Linked DNA regions of Oryzias latipes. The protein of the gene in region 5 interacts with the protein of the main gene of each other region in a pairwise test. Links are inferred from orthologs where the notes say so. Each region holds a gene or a part of one and is shown on either strand. Other genes may lie near its edges.

What was found.
Region 1: the proteins of wdyhv1 (region 5) and edaradd interact in binary tests that used the Homo sapiens proteins (3 or more experiments, as listed by UniProt). The two-hybrid records come from large-scale screens. The link is inferred for Oryzias latipes from reciprocal best matches to the Homo sapiens genes NTAQ1 and EDARADD.
Region 2: the proteins of wdyhv1 (region 5) and eif2b1 interact in binary tests that used the Homo sapiens proteins (3 or more experiments, as listed by UniProt). The two-hybrid records come from large-scale screens. The link is inferred for Oryzias latipes from reciprocal best matches to the Homo sapiens genes NTAQ1 and EIF2B1.
Region 3: the proteins of wdyhv1 (region 5) and lonrf1 interact in binary tests that used the Homo sapiens proteins (3 or more experiments, as listed by UniProt). The two-hybrid records come from large-scale screens. The link is inferred for Oryzias latipes from reciprocal best matches to the Homo sapiens genes NTAQ1 and LONRF1.
Region 4: the proteins of wdyhv1 (region 5) and apip interact in binary tests that used the Homo sapiens proteins (3 or more experiments, as listed by UniProt). The two-hybrid records come from large-scale screens. The link is inferred for Oryzias latipes from reciprocal best matches to the Homo sapiens genes NTAQ1 and APIP.
Region 6: the proteins of wdyhv1 (region 5) and necab2 interact in binary tests that used the Homo sapiens proteins (3 or more experiments, as listed by UniProt). The two-hybrid records come from large-scale screens. The link is inferred for Oryzias latipes from reciprocal best matches to the Homo sapiens genes NTAQ1 and NECAB2.
Region 7: the proteins of wdyhv1 (region 5) and lztfl1 interact in binary tests that used the Homo sapiens proteins (3 or more experiments, as listed by UniProt). The two-hybrid records come from large-scale screens. The link is inferred for Oryzias latipes from reciprocal best matches to the Homo sapiens genes NTAQ1 and LZTFL1.

The regions. Positions count from the first base shown.
Region 1 is NC_019873.2:9,878,132-9,882,241, reverse strand, and holds the start of edaradd (ectodysplasin-A receptor-associated adapter protein), read left to right. Parts: upstream 1-1,310; 5' UTR 1,311-1,501; coding exon 1,502-1,538; intron 1,539-4,110. UniProt on the Homo sapiens protein: Adapter protein that interacts with EDAR DEATH domain and couples the receptor to EDA signaling pathway during morphogenesis of ectodermal organs. Mediates the activation of NF-kappa-B.
Region 2 is NC_019870.2:1,222,556-1,225,219, reverse strand, and holds the end of eif2b1 (translation initiation factor eIF-2B subunit alpha), read right to left. Parts: intron 2,414-2,664; coding exon 2,297-2,413; intron 2,225-2,296; coding exon 2,112-2,224; intron 2,042-2,111; coding exon 1,973-2,041; intron 1,900-1,972; coding exon 1,824-1,899; intron 1,046-1,823; exon of another isoform or gene 878-1,045; coding exon 752-877; exon of another isoform or gene 684-751; coding exon 528-683; 3' UTR 512-527; downstream 1-511. Other genes in the region: ATP-dependent RNA helicase DDX55, read left to right, coding at 3-295, 362-511.
Region 3 is NC_019859.2:13,839,896-13,843,395, forward strand, and holds part of lonrf1 (LON peptidase N-terminal domain and RING finger protein 1), read right to left. Parts: intron 3,275-3,500; coding exon 3,152-3,274; intron 1,094-3,151; coding exon 905-1,093; intron 810-904; coding exon 596-809; intron 480-595; coding exon 374-479; intron 253-373; coding exon 138-252; intron 55-137; coding exon 1-54.
Region 4 is NC_019861.2:8,213,016-8,216,959, reverse strand, and holds the start of apip (methylthioribulose-1-phosphate dehydratase), read right to left. Parts: upstream 2,801-3,944; 5' UTR 2,675-2,800; intron 1,761-2,674; 5' UTR 1,758-1,760; coding exon 1,692-1,757; intron 1-1,691. UniProt on the Homo sapiens protein: Catalyzes the dehydration of methylthioribulose-1-phosphate (MTRu-1-P) into 2,3-diketo-5-methylthiopentyl-1-phosphate (DK-MTP-1-P).
Region 5 is NC_019869.2:4,812,114-4,816,183, forward strand, and holds the start of wdyhv1 (protein N-terminal glutamine amidohydrolase), read right to left. Parts: upstream 2,801-4,070; 5' UTR 2,754-2,800; coding exon 2,680-2,753; intron 2,383-2,679; coding exon 2,283-2,382; intron 1-2,282. UniProt on the Homo sapiens protein: Mediates the side-chain deamidation of N-terminal glutamine residues to glutamate, an important step in N-end rule pathway of protein degradation.
Region 6 is NC_019864.2:24,684,458-24,688,455, forward strand, and holds the start of necab2 (N-terminal EF-hand calcium-binding protein 2), read right to left. Parts: upstream 2,801-3,998; 5' UTR 2,755-2,800; coding exon 2,428-2,754; intron 1-2,427. Other genes in the region: hydin (hydrocephalus-inducing protein homolog), read right to left, coding at 3,526-3,726, 3,994-3,998. UniProt on the Homo sapiens protein: May act as a signaling scaffold protein that senses intracellular calcium.
Region 7 is NC_019878.2:21,516,326-21,520,285, reverse strand, and holds the start of lztfl1 (leucine zipper transcription factor-like protein 1), read right to left. Parts: upstream 2,801-3,960; 5' UTR 2,547-2,800; coding exon 2,544-2,546; intron 2,265-2,543; coding exon 2,140-2,264; intron 1,673-2,139; coding exon 1,478-1,672; intron 1-1,477. UniProt on the Homo sapiens protein: Regulates ciliary localization of the BBSome complex. Together with the BBSome complex, controls SMO ciliary trafficking and contributes to the sonic hedgehog (SHH) pathway regulation. May play a role in neurite outgrowth. May have tumor suppressor function.

The DNA.
Region 1 (4,110 bases), on a different chromosome or scaffold from region 5:
AGGGGGCGCGGGGTGAAGGGTACAGGCTGAGAGGTGAGCACGGAGCGCAAAACGCATGCGCAAACCTGGCTGGATCTTCTTCCAGGGGGGCAACGGTCGCGGGCCGCGGCTCAGTGCTTGATGAAAAAATAAAAATAAAAATTGCGCCCCCATGTAGCGAATTGGCGCCCCTGGGTGCAGCTGCACGCGCTCCTGCTGGAAATGTTTGACGAACGGGGGGGGGGGGGGGGGGGGGGGCTGCGGGTATAAAAAAGGTATAAAAAAAATCATGCTTTTTTGGTTATTTTTGTGTGAAATGCCCAAATAAAAAATGGGAAAACAAAAAAAATTCTTCACTTAGATGACAGTTGGTTTAGTCGACAGACTTGATGCCTATGTCAGGACATTTATGCTAAATGCAAAAAACATCTGAAATATGGAGAAAAAAGGTCAAAACTGGTGCCCAATTTAGAAAGAAAAGAGAAGAAGAGGAGAAAAGAGACAAAGAAAAGGGTAATATAGCATAGCTAGATGCACGTTTTTTAAATTCGAATGCTATCTACCCTCCAACATCAACAACGTTGCAGAGGAAAAATCTCTTGTTTGGTCTATCATGACCAAAACTGAAGTAGGCCCAAATATTGCAAATAACGTCATTTTTAAGATATTTATTCTTAAATGTTTGCTCTGCCTTAACTTGTAACATTAGTTATGATTCGTGTGTCTGTCTGCTCTGCTGTAACACAACGTTTTTTTTGTGTTTTACTGTTGTATATTAGTTCATAATGTTAAATGAGCTGTGATGGTAGCATGCTGCTGCTGCTGCTGCTGCTGCTGCTGCTGCTGCTGCTGCTGCTGCTGCTGCTGCTGCTGCTGCTGCTGCTGCTGCTGCTGTTAGCTTTTCAAAACTCCAGTTGATCAAGTCATACCTGAGGTCACCAATGTCTCAGGAGCAACTCACTAACCTGCTGTTGTTAGTATCAATCATTCAGTAGGGGAGCAGATTTCATATGATGACGTTATTGACAAGCTTGCAAAAGGAAGGCCACAAAGGTTAGGTTTTAGTTAGTGTTTTCTGTTCTTAGTGCTGCAGTTACATTTATTCTAGTGTGTTATTAGTGTGATTTGTAGTTTATAATATTTATTTTAGATTATTTATTTGTGTTTGATGGGGGGGGGGGGGGGGGGGGGGGCGCCAGAGGAGGGTCTCGCCCGGGGAGTAATTCAGGGTAGAACCGCCACTGACTGTCACTATCAGAGCACTCTGTCTTCCTGCGTGTAGTAGTTTTTCCTGCGTGTGGTAGTGTCGTAATGAACGAGTCGCCCCTGAAGGCGGCATTCATTGAGGCCGTCGTCGTCATCACTCAGGTGTCTCATTCGTAGGAGACTCCGCGGCGGGCGAGAAGGCGCCGAACCCTGAGCAGAGTTCCCAGCGGAGGATGTCTGATAGTTGTTGCTCTTTTCTTCCCTTCAACGCACTTTAATAATTCTTCCTACGTCCCGACGCGCACGAGCCTCGACCATGAGCACCTTGATGGCGTGTAAAGCCGGACGATGCGGTGAGTGCCACGCGCTCACACTCAGCGTCACCTGCAGACCATAGAACCAAAAATCTCCTCAGTTCTTTTTAGACTTCTTTTTAGATTGCATAGATTATCTTTAACTTTTTCTTACTTTAGGTATTCGAAGTTAACTTTTTTTATTCAAAAACAAAATGAAAATAAGCACAAGAGTTACAAATAGACAAATGTGCTCGAAATTTTTAGTTGTTGAAGTAATAAAGTTCATTTCAACCAAAAAGTATCCTTATAAAAAACATGTATTATCATTAAAAATGATAAATAATTGTAGTAAAGAGTAATCCTGATGACTCAACTTTGCCCTGAAACTAAGTGTGTGTGTGTTTTGTTTTTTGTTTTTGTGCACAAAAAGTAGTACACTTGAAGTCTAACTTAATAAGTATACTTGAGTATAAGTATAGCTAGTACCAGTATACTAGTCAGGTTCATTTAGTGAAGGAAGTATAATAAGTAAATACTTCTTCAGACTACACTGAAACATTTTAAGTTTACAATATAAAGATAGTCAGTAAAGTAAACTTCTAGTATACTGCCTCACGTTTAGTACACACTGGGTATGCTTGTAGTACATTTAAATCCACTACTTTTTGCTAAGACACAGTGAGAGTTGATGAGACTAAATCAAACATCTGGATGTTTACTTTTGCAGCTTCAGAAACAAAAATGACATCATTGCAGAGCAGGACCTTTTGCAACACGTCTGTGTTTCAGTTTAATGAACAGGAAGCGTTTTTTCATCACCTAATAGCTGGATCAGTTTGAACTTGTTAACTACAGCTCGACGCTTTTTCATGGAATCAGTCTTCATTTAAAAAAATATGCAACTTTTCTTTGCATCTATTAAGATATAAACTTTAGATGCATGCATACACTTATGAGTCAAGTTTTGACAGTTGTGTTGTTTCCTGCAAATATGTTGATTGGATCGACACAGTTTCTACTATAAGGAGGAAGCTGGAGACATCCGCTTATCTTAATGTGAAGCATACGTACTAATGCTTTTTTTTTTACAATTTGGGTTTACTGCTTCTGTATTTAAAGATACGTTTATTTATAGTAACCAATAAACCTATGAAGCAGGTTTTTGGACGGTGGGAGGAAGCCGGAGTCCCCGGAGAAATCCCACACATGCACGTGGAAAACATGCAGATCTGCTAACAGATTACAAACGAGAAAAAAGTTTTCAACAATTTTCCCAACCTGTCTTATTCAGCTTGTCTTTAACTCAATAACGTACACAGATCTGGAGCTGTAATCATTTTTTAGTGAATTATCTTTTTTTTTTTTTTTAGTTTTGCTTTTGACATACTTTGGAAAGGCTTGCATCAACAAAACTTGGTTAAATTTAAATACTGAAACACAACATAACAACATGACTAAGTAGTAGCGAGTCATTTCAACAGGTAGAACGATTACTTTCACTTGCGTTTATTTTTTTTAGGGACTGTGTTGTACAAACACCATCCCCTTGAGCTCCTGACATTAGTTCAAGTGTAATATGTCTCCCATAAATGAGTTGATGCTGGTGATCAACCGTTAGGTGGGTTAAAATTGTTGTTGACTGTTGGAGGAGTAGCCAATATGAATATACAGTGACGCAAAAGGGGACCTTTCCAGGAATTAAGTCATTAGGTTTTGTTCTTTTGCAGTTGTGGTATGTTAGTTTTACGTGTAGGTGGTGGAGCAGAAAGATCTTCTCTTTTCCGGGGAGTCTGGTAAAAATGTCAAAACCATGTTTAAAAAATGATTTAAACTAGGGTTTGCACTGATGAAGTGTTAGTGCACAGAGAATGAAAGCAACAATCGGGTTAGTTGGATTAGAAGGACGTTTTGGTGCGATTCAGTAGCAGTGAACCTTAGTTTGCGTTTTTCCCACAAAAATACCTTTTTAAACCCTTTTATTTACCTTTACATTCATTAGAAAGAATGTTTATTTAAATTATGCCTTAAAAACCCTAAATATAAAACTACGACAGACAAATACAGATTAGTTTTGCTTGAAGTCTTTATATAGATTAGAGGAATTAATCCTAAAATATGAGCTTTTATGATTGGGGGACTTTTCCCACTGCTGCCCCGGACCGCTTAAATTCCTTTTTCTCATATCCAAGGTAAAGGAACTGACTTTGTAGTGATAGATGATGGATGAGCGCGTGTGGAACACTTCTCAGTGGAGCCAGGACATCAGATACACAGATCTGACTGCTACAAAATATTTTAAACGCCTCTCAGTGTTTCAACGACTCATTTGAGCTACAAAAGTAGAGAGGAGTATCAATGCAAAGAGTTTCAAATGACAGGATCCATTCACTTTCTGTTACTGGTCTTTGTCTGTTTACGTCCCATAGAAGTCGGAGCTTATGTCATCTGCTCTAACATATGTCGCTAAATCATTAAAGGAAATAAGAAATGCAGTTTAGATGACTTCCAGACCCGTTTTATTTCATTTTTTATATTTATTCAGTATATTAACCATGGGGAATGTCGATTTATGATCATATTTGACATGTTTACATGCTAAAAAATACAATAAAACACATTCAAGTTTTCA
Region 2 (2,664 bases), on a different chromosome or scaffold from region 5:
AGATCTGGACTTCGCCGCCTTGGCGCGCGGCTTCGGGCTCCTCCGGCTCCCGAAGATGCCGGAGCTGAGGGGGAAGACCTTCCCAGATTTCCCTGAGGCGGCGGTGGACACGGACGCCATCCCGTACAAGGACAAGAACAGGGAGAAGCAGAGGCAGAAGACGCTGGCAGAGCAGAAGGACCGAGACGGGCCGGCGCCGCCCAAGAAGAACTTCGCCAAGAACAAAGCCTGGTCCAAACAGAAGAGCAAGAAGGAGCGGAGGAAGAGGAGGGCAGTGAAGAGGAAGCACGAAGAGGTGAGCGCTGACGGCTGGAGGCCGTCTCTGCGAGGACCGACGGTTTAAGCTCCTCCTTCTCTGCAGGGCAATGATGATGAGGAGGAGGCGCTGGAGCTCCTGAACGACACGCGCCTCCTGAAGAAGCTGAAGAAAGGCCGGATCAGTGAGGAAGACTTCGAGCAGCAGCTGACCGACGGGCCGAAGAGCAAACGGGACGCAGAGGCCCCTCTCTGAACCGCTTTATTGACATTTATAGATATAATTTGATGAGTTCGTCGCTGACGGCGGACGGCGTGAGGACGCCCAGGTCCGTGAACAGGAGGGTGATGAGGGAGGGGGGCGTGTAGTCGATGACGGGGTGCTCCTCCGACAGGTTCTGCCTCTTCTTCAGGGTGTCGGCTTTGTACTGCGGAGCAGAAACAGACGTGAGGGCGGGGCTCGCCCATCCAGGAACGCCGTCAGAGGAGGTCTGACCTTGAACTTGTCCGGGACGTCCTGCTGGTTCAGCGGGTACAGCCGCACAAACTTAAAGCTCTCCGCCACCACGTAGAAGGGCTTGTTGTGAGCTTTGGAGCAGAGCGCCATCTGATAGGTCCCGATCTGAAAGGACAGACGCGCCGAGGTCATTGAGGGCAAACGTCCCGCCACCACGTCCCGTCTGACTGAAAAGAGTCTCCATTCTCAAAACTAAACTGGTATCTGATAAAACAATGATTAAATCTGCTGTTTTCTATCAAAATAATTTGAATAAAAAGATTTTTTAACTGATTCTGAAAAAGTCTGAATCTATTTTTCCCATAAAGCTCGTTTGATGAAACAAAACCTTTACCCCTTGTGCTATCTTAGATGACCCCACCCTTACTTTGACGTGTTCTCCCTACCATGACAAAGGTGGATAAAGGTGGAAAGATTTCATGTAATCCATGGACACCAGAGAAGATCACCAATCATTGAAGAAAAAAGGTTCAGAGCACTGTCTAGTGGGTCTAGATGACCCCACTGTCTAGTGGGTCTAGATGACCCAACTCCCAACGTTAAAGTGCCTAGGATAGCACAAGGGTTAACTGAACCCTTTACCTGCAAAGGTACGCTTGATTTATTCACCCAGCTGTCCAGGCATTTCCATCATTGTTGGTACTTTTTAGATCTGAGTATTGTCAGATTTCCTTTTAACAGAAACAATAAAAAACTTTAAGTTGTCTCTTTGAGTCACTGTAAACTAATGACACGTCTTTATTTTTATGTTTTAGTTATAAATATCTGAATGAAGGATGCACTGACCAAAGAACACTTTGAGTTTAGCTGTTTCTCTAGGACGATTTTGGCGACTAAAGAAACTTTTCAGGCGTGTTTCTAACGCAGCTCCACATGCGGTTAAAAACACGCCAGTTCAGGATTCATCAGACGGTGACGGAGGAGTTTCCGCCCGTCCGCCTGCAGTCGAAGAGCGAACCACATGTTCACTGTTTCTGAACTCCACAGTCTGAATAGGTTTGCAGTTTAGGTCCAAACCCACCTCAGAGACTCCGCCCCTTCCACGCCTCACCTTGTTGATGATGCCGCCGCTCTCCACCACCCCCTCTGCTCCAACGATGACCAGATCCACCTTCTCCAGGACGTACCTGAGAACAGCAGAGCATTGAGGAGGACGCGGTGCATGATGGGAAAAAACGTCTGTAACCGAGCAGGCTTCACCCCACAGCGGCGTCCAGGACCACGGTCACCGGGACGTGGAGCTTCGCCAGCTCCGCCGCCATCTGCTGCCTGAGAGGAAGAGGAGGAAGTGAGGCTGTCTCTGCAGCACAAAAACGTGCGCACGCGCGTGCACACTCACCCGGCGGCGTCGGGCTGAGACTCGGTCACGTAGACGGAGAAACGCTTCTTCTCCATGGCGGCTTTCTCCAGAACCCGCAGCACCACTCGGGAGAAGGAGTGGGTCAGGATTTTCTGAGGATCATCAGCAGAAGAATGAGAGAGCGGCAGGACGGCGAGCGCCAAGAGGGAGCGGCGGGAACTCACGGCGCCGTCTTTGATGAAGGTGTGACACAGCTTGGCCACTTTATTCCTGGACATGGAGATCTTCTCCAGAAAGAGCTCTCCTCTCTCCTCCATCACCTTTTTACAGCGGGACAAATCCTGAGGACCAACGAGAAAACAGCCGTTTCAGCCAGAGACCAGCGCCACCGCAGAACACCAGCGCCACCGCAGAACACCAGCGCCACCGCAGAACGCCAGCGCCACCGCAGAACGCCAGCGCCACCGCAGAACGCCAGTGCCACCACAGGCAGCAGGAAACGACCATCCAGGTTCAAAGCGCCACACAAAAAAATACAGAAAAAAAAAAGAAGTTCGGAACATTTGGAGAACAAAGTTGTAAAATTAAAGGT
Region 3 (3,500 bases), on a different chromosome or scaffold from region 5:
TTTGATTAGCACCTCCAGGACTGTGGTTACCATGTACTTCCGACACGCCAAGTACTGGAGACAGCAGGATGAGTAACAGCAGAGAGTTAGGCCTGAAGTGTTCTGACGTTGAGGCTGTTCTAGGACTGCTGCCTCACCTCTTTCAGGCTCTCTTTACAGAGCGGACAGTGCGGTGTGTGGTCCAAGCAGCGCTCTAAGCAGTTCTTACAAAAGGTGTGACCGCATGGAGTTGTCACAGGCTCATAAAACAATCTGTACAAACACAACGGATCTGAGTTACAAACAGGCCTTTCTTGACTTGTTTTCACTTTACAACAAATAATGTAGAAGGCATTGGTAAAAACAAACAATCCTCATCCTAGTATTCTCTTACCTCATGCAAAGAGAACACTCAAGGTCACTAGAGTCCAGCATACCCTCAGGAACACTTTTGCAGGTTTTTGCTTTGGAAATGTGTTGTTTGGAGCCTTTGGTGACACCTAAATTAGGAAGAGGGGGGAAAAAAAAGCTGTTAAACTATTATTGCAGTAAAGTGTTATAGTATGTCTTTTATTAAAGGCAGCCAAAATAATCTCAGTGAGTCTTAACAACACACCTTGCTTCTTGTATTTGCTACTTCCACTGTCCACAAAGCAGGATTCCAGGTCGGACACAGACAGCTTCCTCTTCAGCAGACTTCCCTTGTCCTGGTCGCCCAGCTGAGGAGCAGAGCTGACTCTCTTCAGTCCCTCATCGCCACTGTTGCAGCCGTGCGTTCGCAGCGATTGAGTTCGGCTCAGACCGGGCCGCTCCAGACTTTCCCAGCGTTTCTGGATAATGACAGATGACAGACGATGGTTCCCTAAGTGGCACTGAATCAAGTCATTCATTAAACACGCATATAGCAGTATTTATTCAAAGGTACCTCCTGGCTGTTCACTTGGTGTGCGGAAACAGCTCGGTTCTGCTGTTGGTGTGCTCTCTGAACCGGACACTGTGGTTGTGCTTCTGCCATAAGGGCTTTGCTGCGTAAATGAGGCAACGTGTTCTGAGTGGTTTCCTTCAGGCCGACTTTAATATTCTCATCCGCGGGGGAAAGAAGGTCACACAAGATCTGCAAAAAAAAACAAACAAGTATGTTATCAGGCTGAACAAGAGAACTCGTTAGCTTCATCAAAACCGTCAGAGACAAAGCAACATCTAGTCAGGGTTAAGTACCTTTTATTAAAAAAAAGTCATACAGATCAGTTTTAATAACTGGAATGTTTAAACCAAAAACATGCAGTGGAATCTTAACGTGATTTAAAAACCTCTGGAAGCGATCACCTGACACCAGCTGGAACTACTTGGCCTGTGGAAAAGCCTGACCAAAAAGAGCTGAGAGGAATCTGTATGTCAGCTGAACAAAGGCAATATTTTTTTAACAAGCCATGTCAAAAGGTTCTGATGAAAAGAATCTCATGAAGGTGTGAATAAGGTTATGTATAAGACAAATGCCATTATTGCTTTTTTTCCCCCCAGCATATGGAGACAGCTCAGAATTTTTCCACGTCTGGTCCATGCAGCCACAAAGAGCAACCGTGTTGTTCTTTGCTATGAATAATGTGACACCAAAGAAGCTGTTTGAGTTGGTGTTTCCTAACTGCTGGAACGCCACTGATACGACATTTGCCTTATGAGCAGATTACATGCGTAACAAAAAAGGCTCTCCAGTTATCTATCTGGGGCTTGTTTCATAAATGATCGATTTTTTTTGGGCAACAAGAGGTTGCAGAAGACTTCAGAGAACTGCAGAGTCATTATTATATCATTTGTAATTCCTATGTAGTCATTTTAGTCTTATATCAGCTGACTCAAAATGTGGTTCTCGAAAAGAATTACTCAGACAATCTGTCAAGATCCCTTAGCAAAAGTGGCCATTTCTCGTCAGAATGTTGTTTTGTATCGTCTTTTTCGGATTATAAATTACTCCGGAGTACAAGTCAACCAAACAAGGTATAATAATTGGGGTAAAAGGATCGGCACTTGTGTGATGATTGGGAATCACATCAATAAATTCTATTTATTGTTTACAAAGGGTAAAGAAACACATTGTTACTTTTACTTTAAAGCAAGTTAATGTTGTCTATATCTTATCTCTCCTTTAATCCCAGCCAGGTGATTGCCACACCCCTCCAAAAAACCATGGGGCTGACTGTTATCTGACCCCCATAAACAACCTGTCCAGAGTGTACTGAGACGTCCTCTAGTGACTATCGGAGCCCCATCTCCACTTTAAACCCGGATCAAAACAGAAACGTATGAATGAGGTTTTTGTCTGAATCTGTACAGACAGTCCGACCAAACAGACGCAGACAAATTCATCACACGTTATGCCTCTGCCAGAAGAATAATCATGTTCCTCTAAAAAATGCATGAGGAGAAAGTGTGTCACTTACATAACTACAATAGTGTCTGTGTTCTGTCTATTAAGTGGCACTAATGTCATTACGCGCAGTCACAAGACTTGACCCACTAACTTATGTAAGTCCATGACAAACGATCACAGAGGAGACCCGCTGGATCTTGCTCTGTTCACAGGTTCAGTCAAATGTTCTGACACGCACAAAATGTTGGGTTCTCTGATGTTAGTCAACAGGAACGGAAAAACTATTTCTCAAAGTTTTAACCCATAAGAACCCAGACCCATTATTTCTTCAAAATAAAATTATGTATATTTTACCACAAACAAGTGGACCACAGAATCCATTTCTGACATTTTTTTTAGTTACGCTGATATCACCATGAGTTTTTGTGGGTTAAAATCGAATCTCACTTGAGGAAAATAAGCTTGCTTTCTTATTGACCGATCAAACCTCAAAACCTTCAGATCAATAGGTGAGAAACACCTGATGAAAGGATGATTGTTCCATCTAACAACAGCAAATAAATCCCTTGAATGGGCCAAAATCTGCTCATCCGTGGCAGACGAACAAATGCAAGCTATAAAACCTTCACACATGACTGTCCTTTTGTTTTGTTCATTCTGTCAGATAATTGTCACCCTCCTCAGCTCCACTCACTCGTCCCACAAACATGAACCTTTGATTAACACAACCATGTGCATCACATCCACGATAACAGGGTTAAAGCATCTTTTTTCCAAATTAGCAGCTTTTTTTTACGAACAAACCTTTTCCACTTGTCTTTTAGCTCCTGGGAAGTCTTCATTGACAGACAGGCAGTGGAGGAAGACCTGCAGGGATTTGTCCACCTGCCCCATTTCATGCAGCACCATCGCCTTCCTAAACAAGGCCTGCAAGAACAGAAATGTTGTTAGTCTCCTAAGAATTACGCTTACACCTCACATTAACCCTGAAGCTCAGTCACATGGAGAACAGACAACAGCTTCCTTATGGTGTGTAGGTATTCCTTTGCAACTCTCACTTTGGGATGCAGCATATAAAAAAAAAAGTGGAAATAAACGACAATTTAAAAACAATAAATGTGAACATGCTCTCTGGTTTGTGATCTAAAAATAC
Region 4 (3,944 bases), on a different chromosome or scaffold from region 5:
AAGAAAAAAAGTTTTACGTGTTTTTGACAGTTGATCACATGTTTGCAGTGGATCACATGTTTTTTACACTTTCGCAGCTGCCACAGATAAATGAATTTCCCCATTGTGGGATTAATAAAGTCATCTAATAACTTAAATTACACTCCAAATGATCCTAGTCTACATAAGAGGTGCGGCAAGGAGGCGGGTCATCCGATTGGTCAACAACATGAAGGCCCAAGGTGCTTTACAGTCACAGTCCCATTCACACACTGATGGACAATGGCGGCAACCTTTCACCAGTGGCAATGTGGGGTTCCGTGTCTTGCACAAAGACACATCAAGGTAAGAATCGAACCCGCAATCTTCAGATCTTCTTCGACTGCCCTACCGCTGCACCAAAGTATCCCCCTTGCAGCCTAAATACTTCAAGTTGCCAAAAAATGTTCAAATGTGGTCTTAAAAGTATTTAGTTAGTATGCTTCCTATACTTCATGGACAAGGTTATAGTAGACTTGCTTTACTCAAAGATACGGCAAGTGTACTACTTTTTGCTAAGGGTTATGAAGACCAAATCTGTCAGAAAAAAACAAACAAAAAACTAAACATTATTAAAAGGTCTGATGTTCACAAATAATTTTATAACCACTTTGTTACCACTTTCATATGGGTTGGTTAATCTGAGGTGACAAATTCTCAAACAATTAGCATGAACTGCTACAGTCTCTGTAAATGACTGTTATTTTTTTGATCTATTTTCAGACTTTATGACTTATGTTTTAAAATCTTCATACAGTTTCAGTGATTTGTGTTTTTCTTTTATGCTACGATCACACCGGCCTTAGCAACGCGCGTTGAAGCAACCATTTCAAATAAAAAGTCTATGTACGGTACATATGCATGTTTCGGGCTTCCGCGTTCAAAACTCTCACGTTAACGCATCGCCATGCAAGATTTTAAGTCTGTTTTCGGGCTCTTTAAATAAAGCGTGCAGCCATTGAACACGCGTTAAATGTTTGACCAATCAGAGTGTCGGATTTGGGAGCCACATATGGGTAGCGTCCTTTTTTCACTCACTGAAATGCCAACCCTTTGAAAATTGATCATGGAGGATAAATGAATAGTTGAGGTCTGTGCTTAGACGGCATTATACAACACCAAATCTGTCATAATATGTCAGAATAGAGCTGTGAAAGAAAAAGCCTGGAGCAAGAGTTGAGACCATCGACTGTAAAAACAACAGACGAATCGAGGTATGATGTCACCCATAGCTCTCCTCCCTTCCTGATACGTTTCAACGTGGCGGCGCCCGCATCAGGAAGCAATGGTACTTCCTATTTGGGAACACGAGAAGGGAGGTGTCCATTGTTTTTACAGTCAATGGTTGTGACATTTGCACTACTTTGACATTTCGCACCAAGCCTCGTCCAACTGTAGATGCATGCGATAGTATCGGGTAGTGACAGTTGAGTGTAAAAGCGTTCAAGAACCCCTCGTTCAGCATGTTCTTAAATGTACGACACATGCCCGCTGTGAACGCATGAATCCAAGGACGAGCTTAACCCTGTCAGTCTGAAGCAATGTGCAGAAACCAAAATCTCATCCACCTGGTTGGGGAGTGCACACAGAGTGCTGATTGTATTCTGAAGATTTTCCATTTAAACAGATTTAACCAAACATTCACCAAAGTTTCTACATGATGTCATACTTGCCTCTTTCTCTGAAGCTGCTTGTCCTGCATCTTGGCAGCCGTTGCTAGGGTCACACAGAGCTGACATCTCCTGCCATGAAACAGACCAGTTTTGACAATTGATTATTTCCTAACTGACACCTGGATGGGGGTGGCACTAACATGACTGTTTCATGTCCACTAAATGAGAGCGCTTGTATAAAAGGGGAATTCCCTACATTTTCCAATCATCGCAAAAGTAAGACAACTGTTTTTGAGCTAAACTTCTCAAGAACTGTTGACGGTTAAAGGAGTTTTCCTCCGAATGTGGGAAATTAGGAATCCCCATCAAAATACTCCCCAAATTTAAGTATGCAGTGAGTTCAAAAGTGTCAATAAGTTGAAATGTTAAGAGAAATATTCCAGTTTTTTTAAATGACACTATACTTACTATACATATTATTAGTTATTTAAACAAACTCAGTTTAAATAACAGATTTTTACGGCCATTATAACAGCACAGATGGACTTACTGACTTTATTTTTTAAATATTCCTTTCCACCAAGATTAGCTCCTTTAGGACTTCTGTCTTAAAACTTTAGCAGGTAAAGTCCAGTCAGTGTTTAGTTTTGTCTGCAAAAAGTAAAAGCCCCTGGAGTCAAATTCACCCTTTCTCCACTAATAAAAAGAAAAAGGTTAAGAAGATAAGGGCTCAGTCAGAATTCAACAGTAGTGTTTCTTTTCCCCCCAGAATTCACATTTCAGTGCTTTAGTTTTATGTCCTACCCATCCATGTGGTAAATAAAAAAAGGGTTTTCAATTACGACATGATTATATAAGAAAGGACTGAGTCATTTTGAAATTTTAAACAAAACTTGAAGGAAATAAAACGCAAAACAGCTGCCAAGTAAGTACGTTACGTGTTATTTAAATTTAATGCCTGTGTGTCGTCTGTTACAAAACAACGACGTCATTTGTTACTGTTTTCTTCAGTTTGCTGGCCATAAAAACATGTGGCTGCTTACCTCAGATATTTCGCAGAATTTTCCCTGGGTTACACACAAAAGTAAACACAGCTCGTTCTGAAGATTGCGTTACGTCACTAATGAGCGACACCGACAAGTAGCAGCACCACCGGAAGTGGAAGTGAAAGACAGAGGTTTTTTTTAAAAAATTATAAACTTTATTGACAATTGAGGTATCATACATAACATAACGAACAGTAACTATATAATCAACATTACCTAGAATAGCAATCACCATTGCCAAACATAACATATAAACATAAAAAGTAGAAAAAACGAATGAACATAACACACACAAATAATTAAAATAAATAAGTAAAATAAAAAATAAAATAACATAAATCCATCCAAAAGGTTTGATATTGGTCAGGGGTACTCATTAAGTTTGTATTTTTGAACAAAACTAGGCAATTTCAAGCCATTCTTCTTTTTCATATAGTGAAGTGATTGAAAACAAAAATAGAGCTCTTTATGAAATGTAATAAAAAGTGGTTTGGTCATCAAATATTTATTCTTGTGAATATAAAACTTTCCTTGAATTATCAGGACATTAAGGACCATATTTTCTGGTCTATTAGGTGAAACCACCCCGAATAAAACATTTTTTGCCTCTAAATGAACTGTCATTGCAATTTTGGAAGAATACCAAAAGCAGAACTCTTCCCAGAATGTTTTTATGACTCCACAATTAAGAATAAATGATCCACCGTCTCAATGTCCTTTAAACAAAAACTGCAGTCATTCTCCTCAAATCCAAAACGAAGTCTCAAAAATTCCTTGGATGGGTAAACATCACTAATTATTTTAAAATGAATGTCTCTTGGTAAAATACAAAATTTAAAGATATTCAACCTTAATTCAATGACCTCTTCTTTAGAGAAGTGTTTAGATTTTTTTTTTTTCTGATGAGATGTTTGGAAGAGTTCTTTCACAAACAATTTTCGTATGAAGCTGTTTGGTAGTTCTGTCTTTGTAACCGTCTGTCCGTCCAATAGGAGTGAAGGAAGTTTTAATGGAACTTTGTTTAACAATAGATTTTGTGATAATTGGATCAACGACCGAGGAAGAGCTTTAATCACAGCATCATATTGTTTCCTATCAAATAATTGAAATTCAGAACTAAAATTTTCAAATGTCAAAATATTTCCAGAATGATCCAGTAGATGCAGAACAGAACATATCCCTTTAGTCAGCCAGTTTTTGTAAAACAAGGATTTGTTTCTTCGTAACACATAACGGCAGTTCCAGAAAGGCGTGGTGTGCGGACTAA
Region 5 (4,070 bases):
ACCTCAAAACAGATTAAGCAGATTTAGAAAATTTATGGATAAATGACAGTGTGATGGCTTTTTTGTACATTTGGGTTTTCTCTCTCTATTTTCTTTTATATTTTCTGCTGGAGTGGGAGGTTTTCTGTCTTCCTTCTCCTCTGCCAGCTTTGATTGCACATTTGTGCCTAATTGTCCAGAGCACCAGACTGGGCAAGGATCTCCAGGGCAGAACATACATACAGGCTTTGTTCTTTGTACAGTATTTTCCACACTACAGGGCTCACCGGATTATCAAGCACAACATCAATGAATGGTCTATTTTGAGCATATGTCACATATAGAGCACACCGAACTACAAGGCAGATTAAGTGAGATTAAAGAGTCAGAGAAATGTCCGTCAGTCAGTCACGTTACTTTGCTTGCAGCACGTGGACAAAACAGACTGATAGCGCTAAAACAAACGTTACCGTGACTACGCTATCACACAACCTTTTTGGTAACCAAAAAAACAGTCCAACATCGCCACACATTAGCCGCGTGAGGGTATTCACAATAACACCCAACCTTGTTTGCAGCATAACTAATTAATAGATAGGGTGATCATGATTTTAAGACAAACTGTTGCTTTTTAAATAAAAAAATTAAGGGTTTTAAGTGTGCTTTATACTGCAAATATACAGTAATTTGGTTGTTTTTTTATTAAATAGTATTTCTTTTTCCTAAAATGGGGTGTAACATAAATTGGGGGCTTGTCCGGGATTTCTTTGGTTTTTGTAATGTACTGTGTGTAGTGGCCAGTTTTAGGGATTGCCTATTTGTTTGATGAACTTCTTTGTTTGGTTTGATTGACCGTTTTAGTGAGACGCTTTCACAACATTTGAGCGTTATATATTGGGTGCTCCCAAATTCGAAGTCTGCGTCCTTCAATGGCCGCAGTCTTCCCTGGCGATGTTACTCGGGTCCTTTGTTGAGCGGGTAGGTCAGATGTTAATGGCTGTGAATTTGGACGAGTCTAGCCTTTAGATAATTCCAGCCATTACATCAGTGAATGTCCTGTTGCCTAGCAACCGTGAGTCCCGAACAGGGAGGAGGAGTGAACCAGGCATGGAGCCATTGTTGTCAGAAAATATCCGGGTTCTACTGCTATGCATCTTGGGATATGGACAGCATAGAAGGGTACACCAGAGCAATCCTTGAAATCGGGTAAAAAGAAGGCTGTATTCGGTGGCCATATTTAAAGGACTTGTTGAATTTGGACAACATGTTACGTAAGCAGCCTTCAGATGCAGCCCAGGAAGAACACAGCCCTCCAATTTGGACACAATTAATGGAGTACAGTAAACCCTTGTTTTTCGCGGGGGTTACGTTCCAAAAAGAACCCGTGATAGGCAAAATCCGTGAAGTAGAAACCTTTTTTTTTAACAATTATTATACAATTAAATTCTCTATTATACATTGAAAAGAAAGAACAAACCGTTTTACAGGCTAAGGAATTGTTTCACAAATAAAAGTACTTTAGAAAAGGTTTTTCAACAAATATCTTCTGTATTGTACTGTCAAATAAGAATTTTAATCATCAATGTGAACAGAAGGCTTCAAATCGCGGAGATTAGCCCCGCCCACCGCGACCCGAGTATTTGGATTAAACGGGAAGATATTTAAAATGATTTTTAAAAAAATACAAAGTACGGTCAGACAAATAGTGACTCAGGTGTAATTCACTGCTCTTGAGCCGCTGCATCCTGACTCCGCTCTGCAGTCTCCCTTTGAAGCCCGCGGTGCAGCTGTGTTTGTTCGGGAGAAGAACATAGTGATAGGCAGTTGTTGTTGTCGCTCCTTTTTTTCATGGGTTATAGAGAAACTCGAAATTGCAAGATGATTTGCACGTATCTGTTGTAAATTTGGCACGCTGATTTACGTACGTGTACATATTAAACTGCAATGTTATTGACGCACAGGTAGAGAAGTGAAGTGACTTTTTAGCCAATCAGAATGCAGAACACAATGCACGATGCAAATCCGTGAAGTAGCGAAACCGTGAAAAGTAAACCGTGTTATAGCGAGGGATCACTGTAGCTGTATTTTGAAACTACCAGATGTTTTGCAAAAAGGATTTTTCTTTTTACAGAGAAGGCCTGTTATTTACTTTCAAATATTTCTTGAGACCACCTGAACCCTTGAGGGCTCGGTGCCCATCATTCTCAGTATGAGGTACTTTTTGAAATATTATTTTTAAAGCAAACATTTTGTTTATTCGATTGTCTTGTTAAGCCGTTTAAAATGTTTCCAGATCTTCTTACCGTTCTGGTGTCGTTAGAGATGAAAATTACAGCAAACTGGTCCAGTGGAACCATTTTCTGTGCTTGAATAAACTCACAGAGCTTCCAAACATTTTCCTCACTGAGAAAGTAAAGGAAAGCAGCATTAGCCACTCATTCACTTGATTAAAATGAACTATATTTCCCTGAAAATTCATTCAATCATTAATTAGACAGATGGCATTGAAATAACTCATTCACTATAACAGTTTTAAAAATGGGTATAACATTTAACAATGTAAACTGTGAATATCGATTAGCCGAGCGGATCCGCTTAGCATTTTGATGTTTTTCTTGACAATAAATGATTTATTGACACAAAACTAAAGACTGCAGGACAGTGGGCTGCTTTTCTGATTTGTTAAAACTTGGTTTTTACCAATAACAGCTGGTATAAACGCAGTTTTCCCGGCTTGGTATTACTTCCACACCTTTCTTTAACTGACCCTTCATGTCTGTAAGCTAACCGGAAAGAACCTCACCGAAAATACAGTACGTCACATCCGTCCTTTCAAACTAAAAGCCCATTCCTGTAGCGTTGATTTCACCAACTTTTTATTTTATTTTATTCTTATTGAACTTCAAAGGATGACACGTACACATTCACATAACTACAATAGAAAGATATAAAAAGAAAAAAGAATACAATACAAAGAAAAAATAAATAAATAACATTAGAATTGTAGCTCACACTAGGTATGGTCATACAACATGTGATCTTCAATGAAAATTGACAGTTTTATTGCATTTCTGTTTTTCTTGAATTCCAAGGATTTAAAATGTAAACAGATCTCTTTATGAAATGTATTGAATAATGATTTGATTTTAAAAAAATCTGCTCTCATTGATGAAGAATTTCCCAGAATTTAATAAAGTATCAAATGCCAAATCAAATAAATTATCACCAGAAAGTACTCACAACTGTAACGGAATAGAAATAGGAAAAGGAAACTTTGAGGAGCACCAACAAACACAATACTCCCAAAAACTGGTAACATATGTACATTCAAAAAACAGATGATCAAGTGATTTTATATTTATTAACAGTTATTTTCTTGAAAACCAAAACGTAAATGTAGCAGTTCCTTGCATGGGTATACTGCATTCATTGTTTAAAATGGGTTTCTTTGTATTTTGGAAAAATTGGGTTTTTAAAAAACTTTTTTGTGTAATGCTGGGACATAGAATGAGTTTTGTAGAATGTTGGAAACAGTTCTCCAACAAACAAAGAACGTATTACATAAGTTTGGAAGTTTTGAATTAACCAGTCGACAATCAAACAACAAAGATGGAAGCAGGAATTTTGCAGTCTTTGATTTTGGAAATGAATCTTTTTGAATTGAGTGGCAACTCAAACACCTCATCTAACACAGTATGTTAGGGAAGTTAGGGTCATGCTGCTGAAGGAAGCGACACACTGGAAGGTACTAAAAAAAGTGAGAGTGAGGCAGACAAAATTTGGAAGCAAGATCATTGAAGCTTGCAAATATACCGCTTAGGTACATGTCCTTAAAGTTGATTATACTGTACCTTAATCACTTCCCAAATCATGAATACGAAGTCTGTCTGACCAGGGAGAAAAAGGTGATTTTTGTGTATAGGACTAGTGGTAAGCACTTGAGTGAGTCCATACGTCTGTCTGAATTGAAACATAATTTTAAAGGTATTGGTAACTACTGGATTGTGTGTAATATAGTGTGAAATGACACAGGGGAGACTAGATCCAATTAGGGCTGTCAGAGTTTTTGTATTATAGGAGGAGGCTTCAAA
Region 6 (3,998 bases), on a different chromosome or scaffold from region 5:
GTGTGAGTGTTATCTGAACAGCTTCAAGGAAAACCAAAGTATATTTCCATTTCCCAGAAGGACTTTGACGTGCTTTCTGGGTAATGGAAAATACAACAGATTTACAGATTTAAGTAGGTGAAAGCTTTTAGACATTTAGTCTGTCCAAGGAATGTTTTAATCCAATAAAGGTATGGATTAAAACTCAAACACTTTGGACCTATTTCTGTTTAAATCCAACTTTAACACCCTCAGATTATGATGCTGAAAGTCGATTTACCCCTCATTGCCACAGTGAGAAGAGAGCTGACAGATGGTAAAACACATGCAATGTTGTGATTTTTTTTTTTTTTCGAGGAGTGACTAATTCTGTGTAGAAATAGGGAATCTGGATTGTAATTAGCGGCTGGTCAGCCAACATTCAGTGCCCAGACTTTTCTGTTTGTCAGTTCACACTGAGGCTGAGGGATAAGGTGCAGCACAGAGCCGATGATGTCCACCAGACTGATGAGGACTCACTGCATGCTCCACATTGAGCTAATTTATAGCTGCAGTAAAAGCTTTGACCTGTTTGGAAGTGAAAGGCTCAGAACTGGAACTTCTGATAAGGAGAGAAACACAAGGATGTGGAACTGGAGGTCGGACAGAAGACAGCTCATAAAGACGAGATCCAGATTGCAGCATTTTTTACTTTTAATGTAAGAACTTGTCTGCTCGTCTGTCTGCGTCATCTTTTTTTTCCTATTTACTTTTCTATTCAGGATCAGCTGCAAAAACACAACAATACAGTAAGAAGGACCCCTGTGTTGTTTCTGAATTCTGTAACCAAAGAGACAAGGTATTGCTGCATCACAGCTGTGTGTTCTAAAGAAGCAAAAATGAGCCCAAATATTGACAGAACTGCAGCAAAAAGCTTCAATGCTTCTTAAATGGAGACTTCCTTCATTCGTTGATGATTTTTGTGATCCTCTAATGTCTAAAAGGGTACAAAACAGACAAGCTGCTAATAATTTATTGGTTTTATTTAAATATGAATGAGAGAATATGATCGTTTTCTAGTCACTTCTGTCAATAACAGTACTGGTGTTGATGGAATCTCTCATCAAAATGTTTCCTTTTTCTGGATTTTGCAGAAAAAACTTGCATAAAAGCTGTTTTATGTTTAATTATTTCCTTCCTCTGTTGCAGTGAAACTCATTAAGAGGTTTTTGCATTATGGCAGCTAAAGCTCTAAATAAGATGTGCAGTCTTGGAGGCATCATTGTAGAACAGATCAAAACCTTGGTGCCAAACTGAGCTGTGCTTCAGATGACAAGCAGCTCTGCATTGTTCGGCTCCTCTAATGCACCCATGGGGCCAACTCAGCCCCACAAACAAGAGCCAGCAACAGAGGAGCTTGGAAAAGAGTGTCGCGTTAAGGAGGCGGTGGCTCACAGCACAGAGGACCAGCAAAACTGTGAGGGCTTAACTATTTCTTTAAAATTAAGAATAAACAGGAAAAAGCCGGACGATGCCTGAAACCTTATTAAAACGGATTTCTCTGAAAACAGGAGGAAAGGACAAATGAGGAAAGGAGGGGAAGAAGAAAAGAGCAGACCGTAGGAGAAAAAAAGACAGCTGGATGCAGGTGTGAGCGTGCAAATCAAATGTTCACTTCTCCACCATGATAATGATGACGGGGTCAGCAAGAGTGGAACATGGCAAAATCATTAACATTCTAGAGTTCGGGGTGATGTGCAAAAGAAGGAGAGAAAATGCTAAAATGATTCAAAGCTGAAGTCAGATCCTGCAGAGAAGGAAGAGTTGCAGGCTTAGAGATCAAAGCGGACTGTCACTGAGAGGCATAAATACAAAACGACAGAAATAATGAACAACAAAAACAGGAGAGAAATCAGGAATCTTTTCATGTATCCAAACACACAATTTTAGTTTGCTGGTAGGGATTCTCTCAAGAAATAACTTTTTGAAAATCTAGAATAATGTGACATGAAATTTGAATTGGCCCTCTGGTCATAACTTTATTCAGGTCATCTGCAGAAGCTGATCTAGTTTCTCTTTTGTTTTGTCTTCTATTAAGGCCGGACTAGAAGATCTCAGGGGGAGACAAACGATCTGCGGGTATTGATGAGCTGACCTATATTAAAGATTGCGCCAAAAGTGGATCAGTGAACCATCTAACTGACTGATGAATAGATTTTTGTTGTTGTTTTAAGGAATCTGTTTCGAAGTTTATAAACTGAATACAGCTCAGGCGGTTTGGTGGAGGATGCAGACAGAGTGGAGAGTTCAGGCGCCAGCCTCATCCCGGACACCCACCAAAGTGTCAAATAACCAGCAGACCTCCTGCCAAGTCTCCACTCCTCGCTCTTGTCTGTGCGTAAGTGCGCACGGCGCGCACCGCTCCCTGGATCCTGCGCATCCAACCCCCCCATGCAGCCTGATACTTACATCCAGAATGACCGAGATGCCTCTCCGTGGCTCCGGGGCAAAGAACTGCTCCTGGGCCACGGCCACCTCCTCTTTGCTGGAGGCGTACTCCCGGCTGGAGATGTTCTTGTTGTCGCTCATTTTGGTGACGATCCAGCGGACGAGCCCGTCGATTCCACCGGGCTGGGCGCCGCTGTTTCCGGACTGCGCTGCCGTCGCGGACTCGCTGTCCTGACCGGCTGAAGGCTTGGGCTGCTCGCGGCTCTCCTGCGCGCGGAGTTTGGCTTGTTCTTTGTTGAGCAGTTTGTGGACTCCGTCCCTACAGTAACGCGCTGCCTGCTCGCACATCCTTTTGCTGCGGAGCGCTCATGCTGCGCTCTATGGGGGAGAGAGAGGAGCTCCCCACCCACCCCACTTCCCTCCTTACATCACACACCCACCCCAAAACACACCCACCCCACATTCCCTGCAAACCCACTCAGGAGACAGAAAACCTTGTGGAAGCTTCAACTTCTCACTTTCCATGCGCGTTTTTTTTGCAGATCATGCGTTATGTGGCTGATTTCAAATGCACGTCAGAACTTTTTTTTTCCTTTTCAAAAAATATTTTGTGGGTGTTTCATCCCGCAAACAGTTTCTGTCCTTTGGCTGTATTCCAGGGGGAGGATTTCTGCATCCCTGAAGGAGCATCAGAGAGTTTTTCCTCACGCAGCTCCTCTCATTAGAGGGTGTCCTGCATGAGTGATGTGACAGATTTAACCTTTAGTAATGACTGACTCCACCAGGTCTGCCCTTTTCCAGAGTTAACGGAACAAAAAGAAGATCAGGACAAATGAGGTCCTGCAGGAAAGTTGACAGAATGACAAAACAGCTGTGGAGGATGATGTGTCTTTCCTCCATCAGACAAGCAGCAGAACTCTGATCAGATTACTTGACATTACTGCCCCCTTGTGGAAATGAGAGTGCATCGACAGGAAGGACTTTGTAGAATTTATTAAGTCATTTAGAAAATGTTTATGCTTTAAAGTATTGCAGCTTCGTCATTCTAATTAAATTCATATATAACAGTTACTAAATAATAAAAACGGATCAGCTGCTTCCTGTTGTGGTTATTTATGATCACTGGGATCCTTTCAGGTAAAAGACCCATGAGCAAGGCTTGCTGTGTCCCTCGCAGCGCTCGCTGGAAACGGTCAGCTTTCCGAACCAGGCCTCCCTTCCAGGCTCTCCATCAGGAGCTTCAAAGGAAACCTGGATGTTGTGAATCTTTTTTGGTTTGATGTTGTCTGGTCCTTTGACAGTAAAGCAGGGGTTGTCCACCTAAAGCAGCAGAACATCCAGTCAGTTTCAGGTTACTACATTTACAGGCATATTCATTTGGGAATCCAGCAACTCAAGCAGCATAACAATAGAAAAGTTAGATGTAAAGTGGGGTTGGAGCACTTTGTAAGTCACTGTGCTAAATATAAATGAGCTGGGTGCTGCTGCAGCCCTTATGAATAATTTAAAAAAATCTTCTATTGAAAGTAAACAGGTCATAGTTCTTAATATGAAGACTTCCTTTTACAAGGTCTGCCTGTTCTTTACCTGAG
Region 7 (3,960 bases), on a different chromosome or scaffold from region 5:
GTCTGGGGCAAACTGATGCGTGATGTTCCTGCGTTTTTGTAGCTTCCCAGCGGCGACCGGTTTACCTGACAAAGAAAACGTCCCCTGAAGATCTGAATCTAAATGATATTACAGTGAGGACGGGAGCTACAACATAAAACGGGAAGAGTTAGATGCTTTTGCTCTGCATTTTTTTCACAAATGGAAACTTTCAAACGATTGCAACCAGCATTCCTGAACATTTTGAGATTTTACTAAATGTCAAAAGAATGAAAAGAGAGTTTTCAATCACACAAATCCTTGTTTTTTTGTTGTTGTTTTTTTACCCACAGACTCAGATAGCACAAAAGTTTTGATTGGGAATTTTAAAATCTAAAAAACTTTATTGCAAAATATTAGCTAATTTAGAATTTCTTGTCAGTCTTAAAATAGCAACTCCTAGTTTGGTCATTGAGGTTATGAACTTTTTGGGGGTTTTGGTTTCATTCCTGCCTGATCTAGACTTCCTGCTTCTGCATTATGGTCAGTTTTGATGCATTTTCTTCCTGAAATTTGGCTTGAAAAAAGCTGTTCTTGAAAACTTTCATGTTAATCCTCCTCCCCCCCCCCCCCTCCATAGCATGAGAAACACTGTGAAGGTCCAACAAGAATTCGGACTCATGGGACTACAAAATGGGACACGTCTTTGGCATTTTGGGGCTGGGATTTCTGGAAGCATTTCTTGATCATTTGAGAATGTCAGAAGTCAGAACTCTGACACTACACCTCCCAGCAACCCCAGCGTGCACTTCCTGGATGCCGCACACCTGACTCTCGTTCACTCAATCAATCACAGCATACTTAAGCACAGCACTGAGCTCAGTGTTAAGTATTGTCTGTGCAATGCCGTCCGTCCGTCCGTCCGTCCGTCCGTCCGTCCGTCCGTCCGTCCGTCCGTCCGTCCGTCCGTCCGTCCGTCCGTCCGTCCGTCCGTCCGTCCGTCCGTCCGTCCCACGCGGTTTGCTTGCCCCAACTCTCGTCTGGATCCTGACTGCCCTGTCTCTCCTCTGATGATCTCATGCCTTTTATTGGCTCCTGCCTACCTGACCCAGATTTAACTTTGTGGACTCTTAGCTGGGCTCATAAACCTGCTGCATTTGGATCCAACCGTCTGCCTGTTCTTGTGACAGTTGCTGACACAAGCTTAAGTTTCTTTTGTCGTTTATTTGTTACCCCATCTGAATTATTTTAAACCTGTATTGGACATGATATTAAAATACATGTTCAGTGTAAAATTTCTCAGTTTAAAGGTTTTTCAATGGATCTTTGTGCTGTTGTGAGCAAAATACTAGTTTGTGGTTTGAATGTCTTATAGTTTTCATTCTATTTAAACACTCAAATGTAAAAAAAAAAAAAAAAAAAAAAAAACCTCCCAGATTTTCTGGAGTTGGAGTTGCAGTACATATTGAAGCATCCTTTAGATTTTAAAAAATGAGAGTACAGCTTCTGTGTAGCTCACCTATTTTCCAGCTCAGAAATGTCAGTCTGGAGTCGAAGGTAAAACTTCTCAGCCTGTGAGAAGAGCTGCCTCAGCAGCAGCACGTTGGTATGAGCGGAGTTGATGAGCTCCACCTCCACCTCCCCGCGCACCACCACCTGCAGCCCGTCCAGCATCTCCTTCACCTCGTCCACTGTGAAGGTTTCTTCTACCAGCCTTCAGGGGGACAGAAGCATTTACAGCTGTTGAGCTCTGCGGCTTTAGGAGGAAGCAACTTGTGTCATCAGGGTCAGAAACGTCATCAAAGAATCGATTTATCAACAATTCAGTGTCTTAAATCTGTCTGAGGCAAGTTATGAATCTAATCGACCGTACATGTGATCATACTGTTAGCGTGGTAGAATGCTCTAATGTGTAAAATATCAGGGGGCTGAACTTTATGAAACTAAAATATGAATAGAATTGTTAACTTGTTTGTTTGAACACCAATTTAATTTACACTTGATTGTCTTGGAAGAAATACAAGGAATCTAGAAAAAATCACCTGCGCTGTTCAATACCCAGGTATTTATCTCAAAAGGCTAGAGATGTCCTAGAACGATTTTAAGGTCATCGAATCGGACCGTTCAAACGCAGATCTGAATCAAATCATTGCTAAAATGGATCAGAAACACTTTAGTCACCTGCTTTCTTTGAGGTCCTCGAAACAAGAGTCGATAGTCTTCAGCCTCAGGACCCTCTTAGAACGAGCAAACCTCATGTAATTGATCATTTCATTCTGATGGTGCTCATTAAATCCCAAGTCAGCCTGGAAAGAAAATCACAATCAATCAAAGTAATAAATATACTCCAATAAAGACACATCCGAAGGCAACAGATGTCATAACATTCATAATTAGCTTATAAGCTAACAAGAAGCGGATTTTCTCCTGTATCAGGGCCTGAGTCTCCCTGCTAGCTCTTCATTGAGATGCATGCTAACAGACAGTCAGTAGCTTCCCACTAAACTCCACATGATCGCAGCTCTAACATCGAAAGACGTTTGAGATTCTGGGCTTGAAAACGCAAACAGGTGGTCAACACTTACCATGGTGGCTGCAGCTAATGCTAACGTCAATACTAATCTAAACGATGGGGAAATTTTGATCCGAATTTGAGCTACGATGAAATCAAAGTGAAGCCAGGCGGGATAGAAAATGCAGTTGTTGTTTTTCTGTGTATTTGTTTTGGAAACAAGCTAAACAAAAGTTATACAAGAAGAAAAGATTATCTTCTAGATCTGTTAGCTTAGCTTTCTAGCTACCAGTGTTTGCCTTAAGAATGCCTTGGTAACGGAATACAGCGTCATCACCTTGGTTACGACTGATGCATTCACGGACAGTATGTGCAGAAGAGAGAATCAGCAAAGCAGCTACAAATTCCATCCGACCATTTTCTAGTCTGGTACAGGGTCACGGAGATTCATTCAGTCATACCCCAGCTACTTCTGGGTTAAGGTAAGGTTTTCCCCGGACTGTAATTGGAAAGAGTGCCCGGGGAAAAAAACGCATACACAAAGAAGACGCAAACCCCAAACACAGAAAACACACAACGGGGATTTGAAACTACAAAATCCCCACATACTTTATGTAAAAACAGCACGAATTTCTTCTTCTTACTTTAATTACTAAAAGGGCGAAACATGTTCTTCCATTATTACCGCTGAATGTCATTTCTTTTGAGTTCCTTTTTTGTGAATTTTGGTTTGTCCGCCCGTCTTTGAATGCGTCATTTTCACCAGGGGTTGGCTTAGAAAGGCGGGTTTCCCCTTTCAAAAATGTTTTTTATTGTACTGTATTTTTAAATAAATTATTAAATAAAAAGACAGGACAAAAAACACATCTCAAAAATATATTTAAGACAAAATTATTTACATTTACTTTGCAAAGGAAAAGATCAATAAGAAAGGTACAATGAATGAAGAATAACACACAACATTGATAGAAGTGTGGTTTCTGTAAGTAGCCCTAAACATTTACAGATGTGTGTTTTTAACCTTTAGGCTTTTTCAACTGAAGATTTTTTCCAAATATTTCTGAAGTTCCATTTTAAGTAAGTGTTCAGTCTTTTTTGCTTTTGTAATATTAAATTTTGTCCAAAATAAAAACGTATAATATATAGTCAACATTTTTACGTTGTTATTTATAAATATTAAAAACACACAACAAAAAATAAAGATGACATGGTTTCAAATTGATTCATTCATGTGTGTGCTATACAACAGCAGATGGCAGTGTGGCCCAAGAAAAACAAATTGTTTAAAACATGTTAGTTTTTGAAAAGACATGTCCAGGATTCATACAGTTTAAGCATTAAGACATTGAGAAACATTGAGTAATTCTCCAATATTCGTCCCAGCACCGCTCTTCCATTAAAGTTCCATTCATCTTGTTGATTTAGGAAAATTCCGATTACTTATGGCAACACTTTTCTGCATTTTGGTCTAGATTTAAGGATGTTTATTA